Saccharomyces cerevisiae S288C: one gene and its partners. The protein of the gene in region 2 purifies or fractionates together with the protein of the main gene of each other region. This does not show direct contact. Each region holds a gene or a part of one and is shown on either strand. Other genes may lie near its edges. The genes, in order: SEC26, GLO3 and SEC21.

The links.
Region 1: the proteins of GLO3 (region 2) and SEC26 purify together in Saccharomyces cerevisiae (affinity purification with mass spectrometry; 4 studies listed by BioGRID). This does not show direct contact.
Region 3: the proteins of GLO3 (region 2) and SEC21 purify together in Saccharomyces cerevisiae (affinity purification with mass spectrometry; 5 studies listed by BioGRID, with this or other methods). This does not show direct contact.

Annotation. Positions count from the first base shown.
Region 1 is NC_001136.10:935,877-943,936, reverse strand, and holds SEC26 (coatomer subunit beta), read left to right. Parts: upstream 1-3,120; coding exon 3,121-6,042; downstream 6,043-8,060. Other genes in the region: SNU56 (Snu56p), read left to right, coding at 1-263; YDR239C (uncharacterized protein), read left to right, coding at 517-2,880; mitochondrial 54S ribosomal protein uL5m MRPL7, read right to left, coding at 6,444-7,322; FMN1 (riboflavin kinase), read left to right, coding at 8,045-8,060. UniProt on the Saccharomyces cerevisiae protein: The coatomer is a cytosolic protein complex that binds to dilysine motifs and reversibly associates with Golgi non-clathrin-coated vesicles, which further mediate biosynthetic protein transport from the ER, via the Golgi up to the trans Golgi network.
Region 2 is NC_001137.3:401,216-407,980, reverse strand, and holds GLO3 (ADP-ribosylation factor GTPase-activating protein), read left to right. Parts: upstream 1-3,628; coding exon 3,629-5,110; downstream 5,111-6,765. Other genes in the region: DSE1 (Dse1p), read left to right, coding at 1-639; casein kinase YCK3, read right to left, coding at 1,594-3,168; YER121W (uncharacterized protein), read right to left, coding at 5,262-5,606; phosphatidylinositol-binding protein SCS2, read right to left, coding at 6,112-6,765. UniProt on the Saccharomyces cerevisiae protein: GTPase-activating protein for the ADP ribosylation factor (ARF) family. Involved in retrograde vesicular transport from the Golgi to the endoplasmic reticulum.
Region 3 is NC_001146.8:89,240-97,369, reverse strand, and holds SEC21 (coatomer subunit gamma), read right to left. Parts: upstream 5,377-8,130; coding exon 2,569-5,376; downstream 1-2,568. Other genes in the region: U2 snRNP complex subunit CUS2, read right to left, coding at 1,290-2,147; CCR4-NOT core subunit CAF40, read right to left, coding at 5,946-7,067. UniProt on the Saccharomyces cerevisiae protein: The coatomer is a cytosolic protein complex that binds to dilysine motifs and reversibly associates with Golgi non-clathrin-coated vesicles, which further mediate biosynthetic protein transport from the ER, via the Golgi up to the trans Golgi network.

The DNA of each region.
Region 1 (8,060 bases), on a different chromosome or scaffold from region 2:
TTAGGTGTCCAAGACAAAATTATATTGATATTGTTTATCAAAATCTAAATGATCTACGATCAAAGACAAATTGTAATATCGTCGTATTGAATCTGAATAATCTTCACGAGTCACAAATGTGGCTTGAATCTTTAAATACAACAAATTACACTATTTTTGCTCAGGCGCCTCACCCAAGTACCATCCGCGTTATTAGTATTGGTGGAGTCGGTGAATATATAGTCAAAGCATTAGAGCTGATATTGAATATATTAGAACATTGAGTCGCATATAACAGTGGAGGTGTATAGATATATTTAAAAAACCTTTTGGTTATTTTTTCTCTTTCATGGCATTTGCTCCGTATGCAAAGCGATAGTTTAATTTAATGTTTTCTTTCAAATGTCATCGCGGATTCAAAGAGCGCACTATTATTATTTGGCAAAAGTTTAAGAGGGAAAATGTTGAAATAGCATGTTCTGCAAAGCGAATTACAGGTTTTGAAGGAGTCTACAGGTAAAGTCTAATAATACAGTGATGTTTGATGGCTTTAGCAACAATAAAGGTAAACGAAGGTCTTTTTTTCGGTTTGGTTCTGAAAGTAAAAACAATGACTCTGAAAAATCCGTTAGAAAGCCATCGGTGCCCTCTACAATAAAGAAATCAACAAATATCGCACGAACTTCGACGGCTGAAACTTCTGCCCCTGATATACCGCCAAGAAGTCCAAATAGGAATGCTCATAGCAGGAGCCATTCTATCCAGGCACCATTACAAAAGGAAACATTAAAGAATACTAATCCATTTTTGAATGCTGAGGATACCTTAGGAGATTCTCTTGAATTAACACAGTCCAAGGAAGCGTCAGGAAACGATCACAAAGGAATTGAATATTTACAAGAAAACAACATCATTGGGCAGAGAACCAACCCCTTCACAACAAGCGCAAATTCAAATGCACATTTCTCCAAGATAAAACGTTCGAGGCCTCCACCACCGCCTATGGACATGAAGTCAATAACAACGTCAATAAGCAACAATACTACTAAGGAAGAAATAGAGAGTAATAATGATTCTGAGCGGGATAGTATTGCAATCTCATCCACCCACAATCAACATAGGCGGCAGCGTTCAGAAGCAGAAAAGTTGGTAGATGATATTGAAAATTACATTAATGAACACAAGGTAAGTTCCGGTAGCTCACTATCCCTAGACACGTCTGAAAACTCAGATACTAAAGCATCGCAAGATAAGTTGCCAGTAGATGTCATGGAAGCTCCCATTTTGAGAAATGTCAGCGCGGAGAGTTCCTTAAGCTACGTAAAACCACTTATTGTGGATAATGAAGAAGTAAATAAAGCAAGTAACGGAAATTTAGTACAATCAGATCATCTAAAAGAATTTTCTTCGAATCTGGATGATGGGGATGATAAATTTTCCTTTAGTACATCGGCTAGTGGTAAATCCACCAAAAGCCTTCAGCAAGTTTCTAAAGACGAATCTAGTGGTTTTAAAGCTGCACATTTTGATTTTGCATATAAATCAAATGAGCACCTTGGGAGTGATGGAAGTATTGCAAGCGCCAGAAAGCCTCTGCGGATAACTAATGAGATTGATAGCGGTTCTTCCAACGAGGATGATGATGATGGTCTTCAGGAAAAAGGTTTTGTGGATAGTGAAAGTAAAGCATTTATAAATTACGCAAGTGATCAAGGCTCATCTATAAAAAATGACGTCTCAACACAAGAGCCTGAGTTACCAAGTCATCGTAGAATATTTAGGGTGGTTAATGAAGATCGCCCTAGTTTCTATTTAAATAGTGTAAACGATACGGGCAGTCTAACCGACAAGCATTCTTTTGACACTGCATCATCTGGTGAGTATGATGCCAAGTCAAACTTCTCTAGCCAGTCAGGACTTTCTATATCAAAAGGCTCTAAATCAACTGTTTTGGCTGCTCTTGACTCAAACGGAAACACAAAATCATCAAATAAAACATCCGAGTTAAACAGTTTAAACTCCATTTCAGAAAGTTTAGTGCCGGCTGCTCACTCGTTCAATGAACACACAGTTACTATCCCTGCAACGGTGGATTTACCAAATCCGGTACATGATGCCCCAAGCGAAAGATCTGTCAAATGTTCACCGTTAACATCTGTCGTATCGAACAAATCGGAAAAGTCCGTGCCTTTGGTTTCTAGTTACGTAGAAGAACTGCGACTAAAGTATTACAAGACTTCTAACTTTTTACAAGCGCCTCCTAACTTGCCGGTTGCTCTAAAACAAAAAAATAATTTGATTCAACCCAAGAATATTAAGGTCAAGTTGAGGACAAGTTCTAAGCAAATTGGTATCAAGCATGGTAAAGTTAAACAGAAATTACTGGCGTTGGAGACAAGAAATGAAGAATCAGATGGAACCGCTACAGGGCTGAAAAATAAAATCAATGTTGACCACACAAAGGAATTCCATAAATTGTTAGGGAAGGAAAATGAAACTGGCTCTATTTCAAAAAAAGAAGGCACTGACGCAGAACAAGCCGAAGACTACCTCAAGGACATACCCGGTGATGAAGCATATAACAGTGATGATATAATGGCGCCTTTACGAGAAAAAAGAGGGCAAAACGGTTCTGTTGATTCCGTGTCAAGATCTAACACGGTAGTCAGCTACTACACAAGGTCTCAGAACAGAATGAGAAGTGGAACACTGGATAATGATTACGTGAACAGACAAAAGCTTCCTACACATATCTCTCTTCAAGATTATCGTGATGCTAATGCTAGAAGTAATATATCGCGTCAGGACTCTGTCTCCACAACGAACTCTGATGTGGTAGACCTCAGCTATTCTCTGGGGCATGGCTTGCGTGTGGCAAACCCTGATTCAGACCCAGAATGATATCCTTCTCTGTAGTTTTGTAGATGTCATATATGTACGTTTATGGAACAGCATTTTAGAAAAGTATTACCCAGCTTATCACTTCGTTTTTTTTTTCTTTCCGTGTACTCGCTACACGTAGAAAGAAATCAGAAAACAACAGCTCGACAAGTGAAATTTGACGTTCATTAAGACTCAGTTAAGATTGCCTTGAGAATAAACAAAAGTAATCACAGTTAACTATTGAACAAGAGTGCACCTATGACTTCACTTTCTTCACAGCCAGCGTACACGTTGGTTTTCGATCCTTCTCCGAGTATGGAGACTTACTCGAGTACCGATTTTCAGAAAGCTCTTGAAAAGGGATCTGATGAACAAAAAATTGACACGATGAAATCAATTTTAGTTACAATGCTGGAAGGAAATCCAATGCCTGAATTGTTGATGCACATAATAAGATTTGTCATGCCTTCTAAAAATAAGGAATTAAAAAAGCTTTTGTACTTCTACTGGGAAATTGTTCCCAAACTAGCTGAAGATGGAAAATTGAGACATGAAATGATTCTTGTCTGTAATGCCATTCAACACGATTTGCAACATCCTAATGAATATATTAGAGGTAACACATTAAGGTTTTTAACGAAATTGAGAGAGGCCGAACTCTTAGAACAGATGGTTCCCTCTGTCTTAGCGTGCTTGGAATACCGTCATGCATATGTTCGTAAGTATGCAATCCTAGCAGTTTTCTCCATTTTCAAGGTCAGCGAACATTTACTTCCCGATGCTAAAGAAATCATCAATTCGTTCATAGTAGCTGAAACTGATCCAATATGTAAAAGAAATGCATTTATTGGGTTAGCTGAATTAGATCGTGAAAATGCCTTACACTATTTAGAGAACAATATTGCTGATATAGAAAACCTAGACCCTTTATTACAAGCTGTCTTTGTTCAATTTATCAGACAAGATGCAAACAGGACCCCTGCTTTGAAAGCCCAATATATCGAATTATTGATGGAACTGCTTTCGACCACGACTTCCGATGAAGTCATCTTCGAGACCGCATTAGCCCTAACTGTGTTGTCTGCCAATCCAAATGTCTTGGTTCCTGCGGTTAACAAATTGATTGACTTGGCCGTCAAGGTTTCTGATAATAACATTAAGTTAATTGTTCTAGACCGTATTCAAGACATCAATGCTAATAACGTAGGTGCTTTGGAAGAGTTAACCCTGGATATTTTGAGAGTCTTGAATGCAGAAGATTTAGACGTTCGTTCAAAGGCGCTTGATATTTCAATGGACTTGGCCACATCCAGAAATGCTGAAGATGTTGTTCAGCTTTTGAAGAAAGAGCTGCAAACAACCGTAAATAACCCAGATCAAGACAAGGCAATGCAGTACAGACAATTGTTAATAAAAACTATTCGTACCGTGGCTGTAAACTTTGTAGAAATGGCAGCAAGTGTTGTTTCGCTATTATTAGATTTCATCGGTGATTTAAACTCGGTTGCCGCCAGTGGTATCATTGCCTTTATCAAAGAAGTGATCGAAAAATACCCACAACTTAGAGCCAATATCCTTGAAAACATGGTTCAAACGCTAGACAAAGTGAGATCTGCTAAAGCTTACCGCGGTGCATTATGGATTATGGGTGAGTATGCTGAAGGAGAAAGTGAGATACAACATTGTTGGAAGCACATTCGTAACAGCGTAGGTGAAGTTCCTATCCTTCAATCAGAAATCAAAAAGTTAACACAAAACCAAGAACACACCGAAGAAAATGAGGTTGACGCTACCGCCAAGCCAACTGGTCCAGTTATTCTACCAGACGGTACGTATGCCACTGAAAGCGCTTTCGATGTGAAGACTTCTCAAAAGTCAGTTACCGATGAAGAACGTGATTCTAGACCTCCAATTCGCCGGTTTGTTTTAAGTGGTGATTTCTACACAGCTGCCATTCTGGCCAACACCATCATTAAACTTGTTTTAAAATTCGAAAACGTTTCCAAGAACAAAACTGTCATCAATGCTCTAAAGGCGGAAGCTTTACTAATTTTAGTTAGTATTGTAAGAGTGGGTCAAAGCTCTTTGGTGGAGAAAAAAATTGATGAAGATTCTTTAGAGAGAGTTATGACATCTATTTCTATTTTATTGGATGAAGTTAATCCTGAGGAAAAGAAGGAAGAAGTTAAACTTCTGGAGGTTGCATTCCTGGACACCACCAAATCCTCATTCAAGAGACAAATTGAAATTGCAAAGAAGAACAAGCATAAGAGAGCATTAAAAGACAGTTGCAAAAACATCGAACCAATTGATACGCCGATTTCTTTCAGGCAATTTGCTGGTGTGGATTCTACTAATGTGCAAAAAGATAGTATTGAAGAAGATTTACAACTGGCAATGAAAGGAGATGCAATCCACGCTACTAGCAGCTCTAGTATTTCGAAGCTGAAGAAGATAGTACCTTTATGTGGCTTTTCTGATCCAGTTTACGCCGAGGCTTGTATTACAAACAATCAATTTGACGTCGTATTAGATGTTCTTCTTGTTAATCAAACGAAAGAAACATTGAAAAACCTACATGTGCAATTTGCAACTCTTGGTGATTTGAAGATTATTGACACACCACAGAAGACCAACGTGATTCCTCATGGCTTCCACAAATTCACTGTTACTGTCAAAGTTTCCTCTGCTGACACAGGTGTCATTTTCGGTAATATTATTTATGATGGTGCGCATGGTGAAGATGCTCGTTATGTTATTTTAAACGACGTTCATGTTGACATTATGGATTATATCAAACCAGCCACTGCTGACGATGAACATTTCCGTACCATGTGGAATGCATTTGAGTGGGAGAACAAAATATCGGTCAAATCACAACTACCAACATTGCATGCTTATTTGAGAGAACTGGTCAAGGGAACTAATATGGGTATTCTAACACCATCAGAGTCGTTGGGAGAAGATGATTGTAGGTTCTTAAGTTGTAATCTGTATGCGAAGTCGTCCTTTGGTGAAGATGCCCTAGCCAACTTGTGTATCGAAAAGGATTCCAAAACCAATGATGTCATAGGTTATGTTCGTATCCGATCAAAGGGACAAGGTTTGGCTCTGTCCCTAGGTGACAGAGTGGCATTGATTGCTAAGAAGACCAATAAACTTGCTCTCACTCATGTTTGAACCACCCTGAGCTGATGCAATGTAAGTTATAATGTCAAAGGAGATAAGAATAAAACTTAAAAAATTCGAAAAGAAATAAAAAAATAAGGAAAATCTTTAAATAGATTTTAATTGCGTAGGAATCTTTGTTCTCATTTTTAAACAAGTATTCACTTTTATGTACATTTTCTTTCCTAAAAATCTTTATACAGAGTTGAGTTGTGAGTTGTGTAAGAGACGTCCAATTTTATAACAATTTGTAGACATCTCAGTGCCCCAAAGAGAACTATATGATTGAAAAATGGAGAGAGATAGTATCTTGTACAGTTTATATATTTACATGACGAATGGGAAATTATATATGCCCTTTGCCTTTCTGCCATAGAGCATGGCTAACTGGCCAGGACCATGAGATTGTATTCTTATTTCTCCTCTCCGAAAAATGGGAACTGGAACCCACTCAACAAAGTTCTCGCCTGGTAATCTAATTGAGCTGAGGTGTTTATATTTATGTGCATACCAAAAGTTTTAGGCCATGAGTCCTGGTTTGCATCGATTTCAGGGAAGAATTTGATATCTTCAGCCGTCAGGCCGAAACTAATCCCACCAAATCTGTTCCCAGACTGGTTGCTTATACCTTTATATTCTCTGATTCTTGGTAGGACGATTTCGGTCAATGTGCTTAAGAACTGAGACATTTCTTTTCCCTTTAGTTCGACTTTAGCTCCCATCTGATGACCTTTTCTCAGTTTCCAGGTTGGAACATCATTTTTGGAAAAAATTGGATGAGGTTTACATCCAGTAATTTGTTGTAATTGTAACGCAGCGGTGATAGCCAATAGCTGATTTTCTCTCGCTTCCCTAACAAAACAGTTTATTACAACACTTTCTAGCCCAGGAATGTTACTCCATTTGATAGGATGAATGTCAGGTAGTTGAGCTTTCGAACCTCGAGGATTTTTCGGTGGTCTGTTCAAGTGGTATGGCGAATCACCACTCCACGCTCTTTGTTTTAGACCCTTTACCACCGCAGCGTTATGTGAATAATTAATCAATAACAAATCAGATTGTAAAGTGTTAAGGTAATGGTCATTGAGTCTATCTGCATGAGTGTCTTTTGGTTTAAATCCAGGTGACCTAATATCACTTTTGTCATATTTCAATTCTGGAAATCTAGGGGATAACTTTGACTTATCAATTTTCACCAAGTGATGAACTGGTTTGACCAAAGAGCATGCAGATTTGGGCTTCACACAGGAGTGAGAGAATGATCTGTGAGTGACTAGTGAAAACCTTTGCATTTTGTTCGTGAATCTCGAGCCCTCTTCAAAGTGGTACAACTAAAAAAACAAAGGAGAGTATTTACACTATTTCCGGTCCTGTCTATTACTTTACAGATACCTCCCCAAATTAGTTATAAAATTCTAAACAGATGCTTTTCCTGTCTTTTTATTCTTCTGTTTTCGAAAGGCCCTTCGTAGATGATAGGTGATTTTGTCGTGTTCGCTTTTACCGTAAAGCGAATAAAGTAGTAGATGGGTAAAACTTGATGCGAAAATAGACAGTTTGCAAACAGCACAAAAGGAGCTCCGAAACAGCCTTTCTTCTTTTTCTAAATAGGTTATTAATGAAGAGTATGGGTAAGTCATTAAGGATTCACATTATGCAATCTTTCCCAGGGTCGGCACACCCACTTTCTAAAGAATCCGCACGCTTATGTTAGTTGGCAACGAATCACACTCAAGAGGTTTTACAATGAATACTGATCATGTGAAACATGATTAAGTTACTCTAATAGAGAATTGAATATCTTGATCACACTGCACTTCAGATGTTGCAATTGCGTTATAAGAGAGGATGTATTTGTAGTCCTTTATGCAGGAGGGTAATGCGTCAATTCAAATCGTTGCTTTAATACTCTGTCAGCATTGGTAACACTATTATTGGACGTACAAGACAATGTTCTAGAAAGTGGTAATTTGGACCCGTGAAGCGGTCACAGACACGTGTTGTTGAAGTGTTGATGTTTACGTGGACTA
Region 2 (6,765 bases):
GAAAGTCTAAAATTTAACGAAAACACAGGCGCGTTATATAGCAGTGATGACCAAGGCTTTGTCATTTGTTGGGATTTACAAAACCTACAAAACATGAAATATGGTGAGTTAGTCCATGGATTTAACTCAATTAGCCTAGATAGTGAAAGTGAACTACTATTAACCAAGCAAGTCTTCCAATGTGGAAACATTATTGTGAGTGGTATGAGTGATAAAAATATTTGCTTGAAGAGCAATGACACTAAGGCCAATGGAAAAGGATGTGGATTTTTATTCCTTGATATGGCAAACGATGGAAGTTTAGTAACTCTTGACAATTTTTGTGAACTGGGATTACATCAAATTTGTCAAGTTCAATTCAATGTCGATACCGGTAAAATAATCGATGGTAATGGTACTGGGAAGAGTGGAATATCTGATTCTTCTATGTTATCATTATCCAATGAGAGTGACCATAGTATGACAGAAACATCTGATGATATGTTCTCAAATTCTGGTAATTGGGATTGTTCTTCAGCAAATACTGTTAGCGAAGGTAGATTGAATGATGACCAAGAGGATATCGTCTTCACAAAGAGGATGTATTCTGTAAATGATGTGCATTTAAGTGGATCTACTATTGATACTACTGTTGTCTAGTTTCCTTGAGTGCTTTCAAATAAAAACAAATAACATATCAATGAATCAAAGTAACATTTCTTTGAAGATAATTTCTTTGTCTGTCACTCAGAATGCCCTTTATTACTAACGACCATCCTCCTTGATGAAGGTGAAAATCAATAAAATTCAAATTGTGACCCAAGTCCAGTCAGTGGATCCTTCTGGTAACACAAGTATTCGGTTTTTTTTTTTTCTCCATGATCTGTATGTTTTACTAAGCTTTGAATTTTTCTTACACAATGTATATATATATATATGTGTGTGTATATCAAAACAGCGCGCGTAATTGTATGTAGCATTTAGAATCAAGTTCAATGCCGAAATTTGTTATGGTTGCCTACGTTTTTTTGGCTTCTTAATTTAATATCAAAATCTTCACGATATGCATTCATTCTCAAGTTTGTAATTGTGCATTTTTTTATATATAGTCCCGCTCTCAAGTGAATTAGAAAAGTAAAGTATACACGCAAAACAAGGGCGTAAATAAAAGAAAACGAAAAAGCAACTAAATAAAAGCTTACATCCAAGTATCAAAGAAGTCGCTCACGGTTTCTCCAATTCTTGAACCTTGATTAATCATAAATTACATATTATTTTGGATATTCTTAAAAAAATGCTATAATAGTGCTTGAAGATAGATTTAGCACACCAAAAACATACCGGGATTAATATATATGTGCGTGTAGTCTTTTGATAAAGGAATATACAGAAGGAAAACGATTACGATGCTGACTATGTCTCATTTTCTTCTTTTTCCTGTTTCTTTACCCTCTCCGGAATTCAATTATTGTAGATGATAAAATAAAGGGTAACAGAGAGAAAGAGAAACAAAATAATACATTATTGGAAAGTCATAAATTGGGAAAGAGCGGCATAAGGAAACAGCCAATCAAAAAAAAAAAGGAAAAAGAGAAAAGTATAAAAATCGCTTTATCAACAGCAACAAAAACAGCAACAACAATATTTGTATATTTTAGAACAAAATGTATCATTCTCGTCATCAGAATAAGCATCATTTTCTTGTTCGTAATTTCGTTGACTTTGATAATTGATATTCTTATTTGCAAGGTTTGTGTAGTGGTTTGGTAAGTTGTGCTCATTATTACTTCTTTTAGGGTTAGCTTTAGAACTTGAATATGGTACAAATGGTGAATTTTGTGTATGACTGATGGAGTCGTACGTTTGACTTTGACTTTTAATTGGCCGTTGAAGATTTGAATGTGTTTCAGGAATATATTTACTATTGGGTTCGATTTTTTTCAAGACGTGTTGTTGTTTAGTAAAGCTCTGCGGGTTCGAAGAAATTCTGGATTTCGAATTGTCCTTGTTATAACTGTTTTGAGCTTGTTGCTTAGGTGTCGCAACTGGCGTTGTATTTCGTGTCTTTGAATTCGTATTCACATTGTTTCTTGCAGTATTGCCATTGACTCTTGGATTTGGATTTCCGTAACCATGCAAGTTAGCTCTTCTATTAATCTTGATATTCCAGCCTTTACCACCATTCAAATCCATCCAGTCATAGTGTCCATCATCCTTTAAGTCGTTTAATCTCAAAGCGTCATCCATTAACGAGATTAAATAGTCATAATCCGGATCTTCGTCGAACTTCAAGGAACGTGCATATTTTAAATATGTGGCAAACTGATAAGGAATAGCATTATTCAATAAAAGATCATCAGGATTCAATTTCTGTTTAGTCATACCAATCTTTTCATACTTCAGTTTGTTGTTTGGTGCTTTCAAACCTTGCCATGGCAAGGATCCCCTCAAGAAATAAAAAAAAACGTGACCTAGCGATTCTAAATCATCCCTACGTGACTGTTCTCTTCCAAAATGAGTATTAATAGACATATATCTGGCGGTACCGCTCAATGATTTTCGTTCACGGTATGGTATATGTTGTTTCGTTCTTGGATCTCTATATTGTTTTGCCATACCAAAGTCAACCATGTATATTAAATTGGGATCATTATTAGAAGAGGAGGCACATGATTTAATGACTTTTCCTTCAGGTGAAATTCTTTGATATTGAGAAATTAAAAAGTTATCGGGTTTAATATCGCGATAGATTAAGTCGTGATCATGAATTGCTCTAACTCTATCAATCATTTGCTTGGCAACCATACAGGTTGTTTTCACTGAAAATTTTCTACCACACCACTCAAAGAGATCTTCCAATGATGGCCCTAGTAAATCGATAATCAAGATGTTGTGCATACCTTCTTGACCAAAATAATAAGCATGGGGAATTCCAACGCAGCCATTCAATATCCTATAGGCTCTAAATTCGTCACGCAACTGGGGTGCGTCCGAATGTCGCGGTTCGAATTTAATTGCGACTGGCTCGTTCGCCATTATTATACTAGAGTCCCTCTTGCTACCGGTCTGCGCTTGACAAGAATGAAGAATGTTCTCTCCCTCAAATATTACTCCGAAAGACCCTTCGCCAATCTTAGGTCCTACAGCATAATGAATACCTACAATGTGTTGTGAAGATCGTTGGGACATCTTTCCTTATCGTCCTTTTACACTTTTTCTTCAGAATGAGATACCACTTTTGATTAGTGGACCGTAGCACGTATACCCTTAAATAGCAGACAATTCTTGCAAAACGGATTTCCTTCTTTTTTAAAAAACAGCAAATAATACCAGTACCTAGATGTTACGAATGCTGTTCCCCTGTTACTCTCTAAGCTGCCCTTTTCAATTCACCTATAGAATGTTTAAAATTTTACTTTCAATATTGGTATTATCTATGACACAAAAGGAAAAGTAACATCGTTTGGTCATTTTCGACGACACGGTAAAGTTTCGAAAAAAAAAAAAAAAAAAGAAAACAACTATTCTTCGTAAACACGATTTAGCTGGCATTTTATAAAAGGAGATCAAGGCGATAGCAAAGAAAGGGTATTTGTTAAGTACTTGTTGATCCGGTCTTCTTGAGCAATTTAGTATACACATAGCGACAATGAGTAACGATGAAGGAGAAACATTTGCCACGGAACAGACTACTCAACAAGTTTTTCAGAAGCTAGGTAGCAACATGGAAAATCGAGTTTGTTTTGATTGTGGTAACAAGAATCCTACTTGGACTTCGGTACCTTTTGGTGTGATGCTGTGTATTCAATGCTCTGCTGTGCATAGAAACATGGGTGTTCATATCACCTTTGTAAAGTCTTCTACATTAGATAAATGGACAATTAACAATTTAAGAAGGTTTAAGTTGGGTGGGAACCATAAGGCTCGTGATTTTTTCTTAAAGAACAATGGGAAACAGCTACTAAATACAGCAAATGTTGACGCGAAAACAAAATATACGAGCCCTGTTGCTAAGAAATATAAGATACATCTCGACAAGAAGGTTCAAAAGGATATGGAGTTATACCCATCAGAATTAGTCTTGAACGGTCAAGATTCTTCGGACTCACCGTTGGACACCGATTCAGACGCTTCCAGGTCGACTTCCAAAGAAAATAGTGTTGACGATTTTTTCTCTAATTGGCAAAAACCAAGCTCCAATTCCAGTTCTAAACTCAATGTAAATACAGGCTCTCTCGCCCCAAAAAACAACACCACAGGCAGCACACCCAAGACCACTGTCACTAAAACGAGAAGTTCCATCTTAACGGCTAGCAGAAAGAAACCGGTATTAAACTCGCAAGATAAAAAGAAACATTCAATTTTGTCTTCGTCAAGAAAGCCCACTAGACTAACCGCAAAGAAAGTCGACAAATCACAGGCAGAAGACTTGTTTGATCAATTTAAAAAAGAGGCTCAACAAGAAAAGGAGGACGAGTTCACTAATTCGTCTTCTAGCACCAAAATTAGACAAAATGATTACGATTCCCAATTTATGAATAACAGTAAAGGCAACAATAATAACAGTATAGATGATATTAATACCCAGCCTGATGAATTCAATGATTTTTTAAATGACACTTCAAACAGCTTCGACACAACTAGAAAAGAACAGCAAGATACTTTAACACCCAAGTTTGCCAAATTGGGATTTGGTATGACCATGAATGACGCCAATGATTTGGCAAAGCAACAAAAAGAATCTCAGAAAATAGCTCAGGGACCAAGATATACGGGCAGAATCGCGGAAAGGTACGGCACACAAAAAGCTATATCATCTGATCAATTATTTGGTCGTGGCTCATTTGATGAAGCAGCAAACAGGGAAGCGCATGACAAGTTGAAAACATTTGACAATGCTACATCAATTTCCTCTTCTTCATACTTTGGAGAAGATAAAGAAGTGGATGAATTTGGTAATCCCATCAATAGTAGTGGAAGTGGAGCAGGGAATTTTGATGGCCGTAATTCTAATAACGGTTTCATCGATTTTAATGCCTCCGCAGATGATGAATTGCAGATGTTGAGAGACGTTGTAGAACAGGGTGCTGAAAAACTCGGTAGTTATTTAAGGGACTACTTAAGAAAATAAGTTTAATTTTCTCTTTAATTGAATTTTTTTTTTTTCATTGTTATCATTGTTTTTTATTCTCATTTTTCATTATATGATAATTATATTTATGGTACATAGAAACGGTTGTATATGCATTGTACGTGCGTTTATTCTTATTCTTCATCCCCCCTTATCTTAGTTTAAGGTTTCTAAAATCGAAAGTTTCATGTGCGTATGAAGCGGTTGAAAATGCAGACGAGGTAGCATTTGGTTCATTAGCATTATAAACACTTTGCTTTAAAGAAGGTAAGTTATTTTCGACATCTCTGTTTCTAATTGCTTCATCGTCCACATAGGGAGAGTCTATACCCACTTTCCAAAACGAGTTCATTACTTGATTACCATATTCGTTAGAAACACTTGCATTTAAACTATCACTTGCCGCAAGGGCGTAGTAGTGCGCATCCTGTTGCATTTCTTCGCTCTTTTCCTCTGCTGGCCTTGAATTCTTGTCGTGCCAGCGCGATAAGCCCATGTTACTATATTGTCAATATGTGAGTCCCTCGTTCACTATGAGACCTAGCAAAAAACAAACTGAAAGTAGGTGGCTGTTTATGTATTCATTTATTTATGGACCTTTTAGGCGCGACCCCCTCGCAAGATCTTCGTTAATGTGCATCCAAGACCCTCCCCTCATTTAGTAGACCCCGCATTGTTATGGTTAATAACGGATAGTTATTTGCCCAAGATAGCGCCTACTACACTAGGGAAACCGAACATGAATAAATTAAACAAGTAATATGTTACAACAGTGGTATAGTTATCGATTATTCTCCTATTTAAAAAATAAAACATATAAAAAAGTTAGGAAAGTATGATCTTTTAGTTCCTTGTTCTAGTATTGTAAAGGCTACAGAAGGAAACAATAAAAAAAGATTGTAGAAAAACAAAGTAAAATAAAGACTGAAAGGAAGGAAAGGGCAAAACACACACATATATAAATATATATTTAGAATACAGCTATATCCTCAATCTCCCTATTATCTGTAGAACCATCCTAAAACCAAGATAAGGAGTGCAACCAATATGAATATACCCATGCTGGATGATTCATTTTCTGCAGGTACGGTTGCGGCTTCCTTTATCTGGTTCTGTGGGGCCGGAGTGCTGTTGGACGTTTGCTTCTCATTTTCATGAGGAACGGTTTTCTGAACGACAGGTGGGACCTCTTCTTTCTTTACTTGGACGGGAGGTTGAGTTTCCGGTTCAGCAGGGACCTCCTTTTCGTTTACCACAGCAGGCACTTCCTTTGGCTCACTGTCTTGGACTACTGGTTCAACAGTTTCCTTGTTTTCCTGTATATTTTGGTTCTGTGCTGGGTGTACATCTGGACTTATCAAATATTTGACTTTTATCTTTTTAGAGATAGCCTGTTGCTTGAACTCAGCCTCCAAGTCGGACCAAACATCTGCAACAGCCTTGCCATTGAGGTCGTAAGGAGAAGGCAACGTGATAACCAGGAACTTGTCACGGCACTTAAAGTCTGCGGCAGGCTCTTCAGTCAAACCCAGGAAGATAACTTGAACCTGGATTGTTTCACCTGGAGCAACAACTGCGGCGTTTGGTCTCACGCAGTAAAACTTTGGGGCTGTGGTCTTGACCTTAAATGCAATGGTTTGGTCTGAATTGTTGGA
Region 3 (8,130 bases), on a different chromosome or scaffold from region 2:
ACAAATTGGCAACATATATTTACTTAATGGAAAGGTAATTGGAGGAAAGTCCACCAAGGCTTCATTAACATGTACTTCAACTACGGAAGCAGAAATACACGCGATAAGTGAATCTGTCCCATTATTAAATAATCTAAGTTACCTGATACAAGAACTTGACAAGAAACCAATTACCAAAGGATTACTAACCGACAGTAAATCTACAATCAGTATAATTATATCCAATAATGAAGAGAAATTTAGGAACAGATTTTTTGGTACTAAAGCAATGAGATTGAGAGATGAAGTATCAGGAAATCATCTGCACGTATGCTATATCGAAACCAAAAAGAATATTGCAGACGTAATGACCAAACCTCTTCCGATAAAAACATTCAAACTATTAACAAACAAATGGATTCATTAGATCTATTACATTATGGGTGGTATGTTGGAATAAAAATCCACTATCGTCTATCAACTAATAGTTATATTATCAATATATTATCATATACGGTGTTAAGATGATGACATAAGTTATGAGAAGCTGTCATCGAGGTTAGAGGAAGCTGAAGTGCAAGGATTGATAATGTAATAGGATAATGAAACATATAAAACGGAATGAGGAATAATCGTAATATTAGTATGTAGAAATATAGATTCCATTTTGAGGATTCCTATATCCTCGAGGAGAACTTCTAGTATATTCTGTATACCTAATATTATAGCCTTTATCAACAATGGAATCCCAACAATTATCTCAACATTCACCCATTTCTCAAACACAGCTTCAGTATTGTCTGAGCTTCTCGTTTAACATTCCTTCTGCAATAGGTGCAATCACACTTAAACGTATACGAGGTGTACATTAATATACGATGTAAGCATTAGATTGTTACCATAGCAACACATGTCACTATTAATTACTCTCGTTCCAACATTATCGGAAGAGGTTTGGTTTATTCCAACAATTAGAATCGCAGTAGTGATTACCCTTTTAAGTAATCGCTGTGTTTCGGTGGTGATATAGTCGCCATCACTTATTACCTCGTCATTACAGTTACACCATCCAACACATGGGCGGTTAGTGTAGTGGTTATCATCCCACCCTTCCAAGGTGGGGACACGGGTTCGATTCTCGTACCGCTCAAATTTTTTGATGGCATTGCTTGCATTTTCAAGTATTATATCGACATTTATTTTGTACTGGGAAGTCATAAAGCCCTAATCCATTCTGTTTATTACATTGTGTTCACTTATTTTACTTAAGTACCAAAGATATGGGGGTAATACATTTTTTTACTGCAGTTCTATATAAGGTCATCTTCCACTTCGCTGTCCTCATTCTTGTCACTTGTGCTTGAAGTGTTCTCATCTCCAGAAATGAAAGCAAGCAACTTTTGCCCATCAAAATAACGTCCGGTCATGATTTTGCAACATTGCAATGCAACTTTATTGTTCTTAAAGACGACCGTCGCTTCCCCCTTATTGGGAGATACAGATATACTGTCTACTTGACCTATCTCTTCACAGCCTTCCAAAAGATCTTCCTGAATATCATTTATATCATCATTTGTGTATGATTTGTAAATATTGAATACGTTGGCAAATATCACCGTTCGATCAGCTTTTGCTAGGCTTTCATCGTCATTGTAATCTATTACTTCCCCCTCCCCTTCAGACTTCGCTTTTTTTAGCCTCTTTATTGGAGGCTCAGGTCCGTTGAACTCCTTTAAATCATTTTCTTTCCCGTGCATATTGTCACCTTCCTTGTTTTGAAATTGGGCTCTTTCGACCCTGATCTGTTTTCCCAGGAAGATCGACTCGTTCATCATTTCGATTGCTAATGTAACACTTTCTTCCTTGGAATAAGTGATCAAGGCATCCCCTTTGAAAGCGCCTTTATCATTCACATATAGCTTGCAAAGGGGTTCCCCATCTCGATTGGTTCTTATCATTCCATACTTGCAAAACTGCTCAGTGAGTCCTTCTTTCGTTGTTTTGTCTGTGGGAAGACCAGAAATATATATTGAAGTATTTTTTGAGGCATTATTATATTCAAGCTCTCTTTTCTGAAGATTACTCTCTTTTAACTGTTTCCTTCTAAGCAATTCTTCTTTTTTCAATTTTTTCAAATGACCTTTCAATTCCAATTCATCAGCATCCATCGCTGTCAAACAGTAATGTTGGTAACGGAATACAGTGAAAAGTGTAGTGCGTTCAAGGGTCTGCAGCCTTTTACAATATGCCTGGTCAGACTAGTGCTTTTTTTTTGTTTTTTTTCTTCTTCTTCTTTCATCAATTGCATAATGTCAACTTTTTTCTGCCCTGTTGTCCTGTTTCTTCCATTTCGTTTTCTCTTGTCAAACTATTATAGTATTTTTCTTTAAAAATTTTGTTTATACAAAGATTACATAATTTATTCTTCGTGTGGTGATGATCCGTCATATTCTATCCGTGATTTTTTTGGTTTATTATTGTTCTTGCTGTTCATTCCCTTATTTGCATGCACGCTTGCTAAAGCTGACGCATTTCTTTTAATACTATTGATAACAAAAGAAGGGATTAACTGAAATAAAATTTCACAGCTTACTGCATTAGACCATTCACCAGATCAGAGCATAATAAGCTGTCTTCACCTTTACCATGAACTTTCAAAGCAAGACCTTTCGAACTCTTGATCATCTTAATCTGTAGGGCTACTTTAGATCCAGTTAAAGCACTCTTACCAAATAATTTCAAGGTGTGGGAGTTTGAATCACTTGGAGCAAATTGGGTACTTTCCACCGGTAAGCAGCTACTGTTCAAAATAATCTTATCTACTACTTCTTGTATGGATAAATCTTCTTGAATGTTGAAAACAGCAACTTCTTCGCATGGCAACTCATCAAATGTAGCGGAGAAGTTACCAGTGAAAGAACTCTTAACATAATCACCAGCATTCAAGAAAATCGAGTCAATTTCATATTCATCTTGGAAACCTTCATCACCATCAAATGGCTCATTAGTGTCAGGGTTTATTTCTTTTGTAGTGAATGTTAAGTTGTTCAAGAAACCTTCCATTACAATTTCATCAAGTTTTTTGAATGCAACGTAACAAGCTGCTTCCTCGGATGGTAATAATCTGTCCACTTGTAGGGTGAATAGCTCTTCTAATTCAGCTTCATCAGAAATTTCAGGGGTACAGACTACAGAAACATTGTCTAGGGCAATATCCGTCAGAGTATTCGTAATATTAAATTGTAAAACAACATTGTCTTTGAAGAGATGTTTGACACCACGTACAACGAATTCTGCTTCTGGCTCAGTTAATGAGATAGCCCTAGAACTATTTACTAATTGACCAAATGGTTTAATTTGTTCAATGGATAGCAATTCGTCAGCGTACTTAGTAGCTAGTAGATCTTCTTGGTGGTCGTCCAAGTTTGGACCAGCAAATGAATTAGCGTCAGCTCTTTTTTCTGGAACACTCTCTGCCTCTGGTGTAGTATCCAAAGTGGTTTCAGACTTTTGATTGAAAATTTGTTCTTGCTTTCTCTTCAGATTTATTGCCTTCATTTCATCCTCAGTAAACTTACGAACTTGATTCACATCAAATGCAGTTGCAAATGAATCAGTATTTGAGGAAATGTAAGAACTTAATTTTGACTCTAATGATGGAATATCGTAAAAATATTTGGATTCGATTAGATTTTGTGCTATAACATCATCTTTATTCCTAGCCGAATCAATGAATTCTAGTGCAATGGTGGCTCTGTCTCTGACTTCATCGTCTTTATCATTAGCGATTCTCTTTAACAAACTTATGATTGACTCATATAAGGTAGGATCGTTCTTCGTCAAAGCAAACTTAGATAAAGCTACAACGGCAGCAGATCTAATAATAGAATTTTCCAACACCACTCTGTTATAAATATGTCTAACATATAATGATGGATTTGGGGCAGATGGACCTTCTTTACCCAAAAGATGTAGTATTCTCACTAGTATTTCGTTGAATTCACAATCCTCGATGAAATCACACAAGTTTTCTAAGGCGAGTTCTTTAGACTGTGGAACAAATGAAACAATATCGATTAATGCTTCGACAATACTGTTTTTAAATTTGAATCCACCTTCACTATTTTTCAAAACATCGATTAAGAAGTTCAAAATTGACTTCCATTCCTGTGGGAAGTTCAAAGACAACGTACGAACGGCGTCAATAATAATGATCTTAAAGTCATCACTGACATCATGGATAAAATTAGTAATAGTCGAAATCAGAGATGAAATATTTTTGGAAGTTCCTGTCTTCAATAAAGTGGTGATTGCATAAGTAGAAATGTTTCTATTAGAATCATTAATTAAAGATTCTAGTTCAGGATTACAAACAACAATCTTTTCTGGTGAAACCATGGATATTCTATTTAAGATTCTCAATGCAGCGAATCTAGAAGAAACACGAGGAACGGTCAGTAAGGACTGTAAAGCACTGATAGCTGCCGCATATAACTCGGGAGCCACTAAGCGGGAATTGCGAGTAGCGAAAGAAGTAATCAATTTCGCCGTTTCCAACTGAACAGATTCGAACTTGTTGGATAGCCAATCAGACAAAAGTGGCCTGAATTGACTAAATAATTGAGGATCCCTATAAATCAAATCGTTGACAATCTTGACCAATTCTACCTTGGCCAATTGATTTTTCATAGAATTGTTTTCAGAGAAATGTCTAACCAATTTTAGTAACGCCATTTTATCAGTTTTCTTCAGTTGATAAAGCAACCCAAGAGCATGATATTGAGAAATATAAGTGGAGTTTGGATAATATTCGCTATTACCGTGTTGATTTGGAAATTGTTTCAAATCCAAAACAGCTTCTTGAGTTTCATTGGTGAATCTTCTGATAGTGACTTCTGAAATGGGCAGCAAATGATAAGAAGTACATAATGCTGCTGAGGATATTGAAGGATGTCTACTTACCACGGCACTTTTTAATAACCTTTCAGCGGAAAAAGCAGTAGATTCATCCAAGACATAAGTCAGCGATCTAATAGCGTCAGGCTTAATCAAATCGGAACCGTTTTGAACGTCCTTCATGATTGAAGAGGTTGCCATCAACACATCCTCCGAAATGCCACTCAATTCCTTGATTGCCAAATAAACAGCCTGCCTTAAAGGATCGTTCTGGTGTTGAAATAATTTGGAGATAGAGAAAAATAATGCAGTTGCTTCATTCTGTGGGAAGGTTTCGCCCTGGGCCAAGAGTCTCAGCAAGCGAGAAATCAATAAACGACATCTCTTGGAATTGACAGGTGATTCGTTAAACGTGTTCATACAATCCTGATAAATGGTCATTTTATCAGGTAAATCGCCCGAGGTCGAGTTTTCAAACTTTTTGTAAGTATGTGCAGACATGTTGATTCGCTCTGTGATTTAGTATCGCTTCTTGGCTTTTGTCCTATCCGTATTTGTTTAGTTATTTTGTATTATACGTCGTTCTGTAATGTTTGCGGGCTCACCTGGATGAAGCTAAGAACAAAAAAACGGGTTTAGCAGAATAACTGAAGAAGTACGTTGGTAATGAGCACACACAATTCCTCCCTTGCACTTATTTGTAAAGAATTGTGTTCTCAACAATGCAACTCGTATCCAAAAAAACGCCTATGTATATTTCATTGATCTTGACGAAACCTTTAGATTTCGAAAAAAATAGAATCGTGGTTCGTGGCGTCGTAGTGAATGACACAAGGGGTACATTCCGGGTGATAGGATGAAAAATGGGTAATAGTAATAGTACAGAAGAACCTTCTGGCACTTAACTTAAACCATTCTGAAATATGAGTGGACTTTATACATTTCATGCATATAAATATAACTATACAAAATTAGGAGAGGTGAGGAAGTGAAACTAAAACAAAAAGGCAAGGTTAAAACAATACAGGAAAATAGAAAGAGAAAAACAGTAATATATCTATGGGGATGCATCATGAGGTTTCTTCGTTTAATGTCAGTAGCAATTGTGCCAGACATCTCTTGGACCCGACGTCGTCTCTTAGTACTTCCGTAAAAGTGTTATCTCTCAGTTTGGCAGGTAAGACTATTTTCAATAGCCTGCGTGCTTCGAGATCGTCGCTTAATCTTAAGTAGCATCTAATGATATGTTTCAGTAGTCGTCCCGGTGGTGTGCTCACGGTCAAGTGCTCAACCATATCTTTTAAGACATTAGTTACGGCGTAGAACCTTTCCAAGGTGGCACAGATGTATTGCAATCCAACGTCATCTAGTAGGATTTTCTGTAAAATGAAAATGGCGACTGTCTTGGAAAGCTCAGAAGAAGATTCCATGATCCTTAGGCATAACGGCACGATATCGGTTCTTAGCAAAAACGTTATTACGTCTTGTGAGTCATTTTTGACCAATGCGCCTATCACACCTAATGAAGTCAATCTCAAGTACTCAAAAGTTCTTTGCCTGGAGGTAGTATTTAGGAAGGGGAAAAGAAAGAGAGGAATATGGGCCTGTAAAAAGAGATGTTTTGTCTCTGGGTGAGATGCAACACACTGTAGAAGAACTAGAGCGTTGCATACACGATTTGATAGATTGTTAGAGAGCATCTGAGGTTGCAGCATGGGATATACGGAAATGATTTCGTTCAGCAATGAGGTCATTACACCAAAGGAAGACCAAAGCACAACGGCAAGGTCATCAAACTGTTCTCTTTTGCGACCTAATTCAAGCAGTGCTTGTTCCTTTTGAGGGCCGTAGGTCAATTGACAAATCCAGTGGTATACATTGGGATCATCTAGAGCATGCACTGCGCCTCTATTATTGACCATGTTGGGATTGTTTCGAGTTGCGTTAGCATCGTTACCGCCGTTATTGCCGTTATTGCCGTTGTTCTCGCCATTTTCATTGCTATTATTATTATTCGGAGTATTGCCCATTAGCATGGGGCCTCCACTTGGAATTTGTTGATTCATGCCTGGACCCATTGAAGTTGGAACCCCAGGCATGGACATAGATCCTGGATTATTAGTTGAAGGACCACCACCACCCATGTTCACGCCTGCTCCATTGCCATATATTGGCTTTTGAGCGGAAAACATATTAACTTATTCAGAGGATGTTCAGTTGCTGTCGTTGTTGCTTCAGGAACAAAGTTTAATCTCGTCAAGATCAGCAGAAACACACACACTCGCAAATTTGTCAAAACTTGGGAGTTTTAAAAGATGAACGGTTTCTAACTTGCGTACTCTACGTCTTTGCAATCCCTTTACAATGTCTTCTATGCGTAAATTACTTTAAATTTGGATTTTGCCTCTTGCTGCTCGCAGCAAAATTCTCAGCATGTTGAGGTGTGTGGGTGGAGTTTTTCCTCTCCTGCTAGTAATACTTATGCAAGAATCTACGTCTAATGAGGTGCTCACGTTTTGCAATGATGATATAAATAGGGACAGTAATCTAATATAGACAAGTGGGCGTAATAGGGTTTTCTTCTCTCTCTTATGCATTCTGTAAGCATCTCGCTTTATGTGAGGAATAGTAGTAAAAGCGTATGATACAGGGAAATAGTAGTACTTTTACAATAGTATTGCTACTTGCATTCCCAAAAACATTCAATAAATGCACTTGGTTTCGAGCGTCTTTTGTTTATTTTTAAGTTTTGTTTGTTTTTTTTATTGTTTTGCTTCGTAGTTTCAATTTTAAACATTAATGTGTGCAAAAACTATAAGACAATGGTATACGCAAGAAAAACTATAAGTAGCATATTTAGTCTACTCCGAGCCATATCGGAAAGAACAATGTCGCGTCTTGCAAAGGCTGTTAATACATAGAATAGGCCACTCCAGGCATGTAAATACATGATTGATTGGATGAGCAACACTGAAATGGACCAGTGGCAACCTAACAGGATTTCTGATCTATTTCACGCCCAGAAAAAAGGCGTACATTCTATAATCTACTTAACAGACCTATACAAGCACTGTCCTACATATTTCAAAAGATTTAATTTACATATCGATTCCGTTCAACGTAAACAGTTTGCTCATAATACAGTCACAGATGTGAGAGAAAAAAAAAAAAGAAAATAAAGGAAAATGGATCAGAAATTTGGGTATACTTAATGCTTCATAGGACACCTGAGTACTTGTGGCATCCATGTTCAGA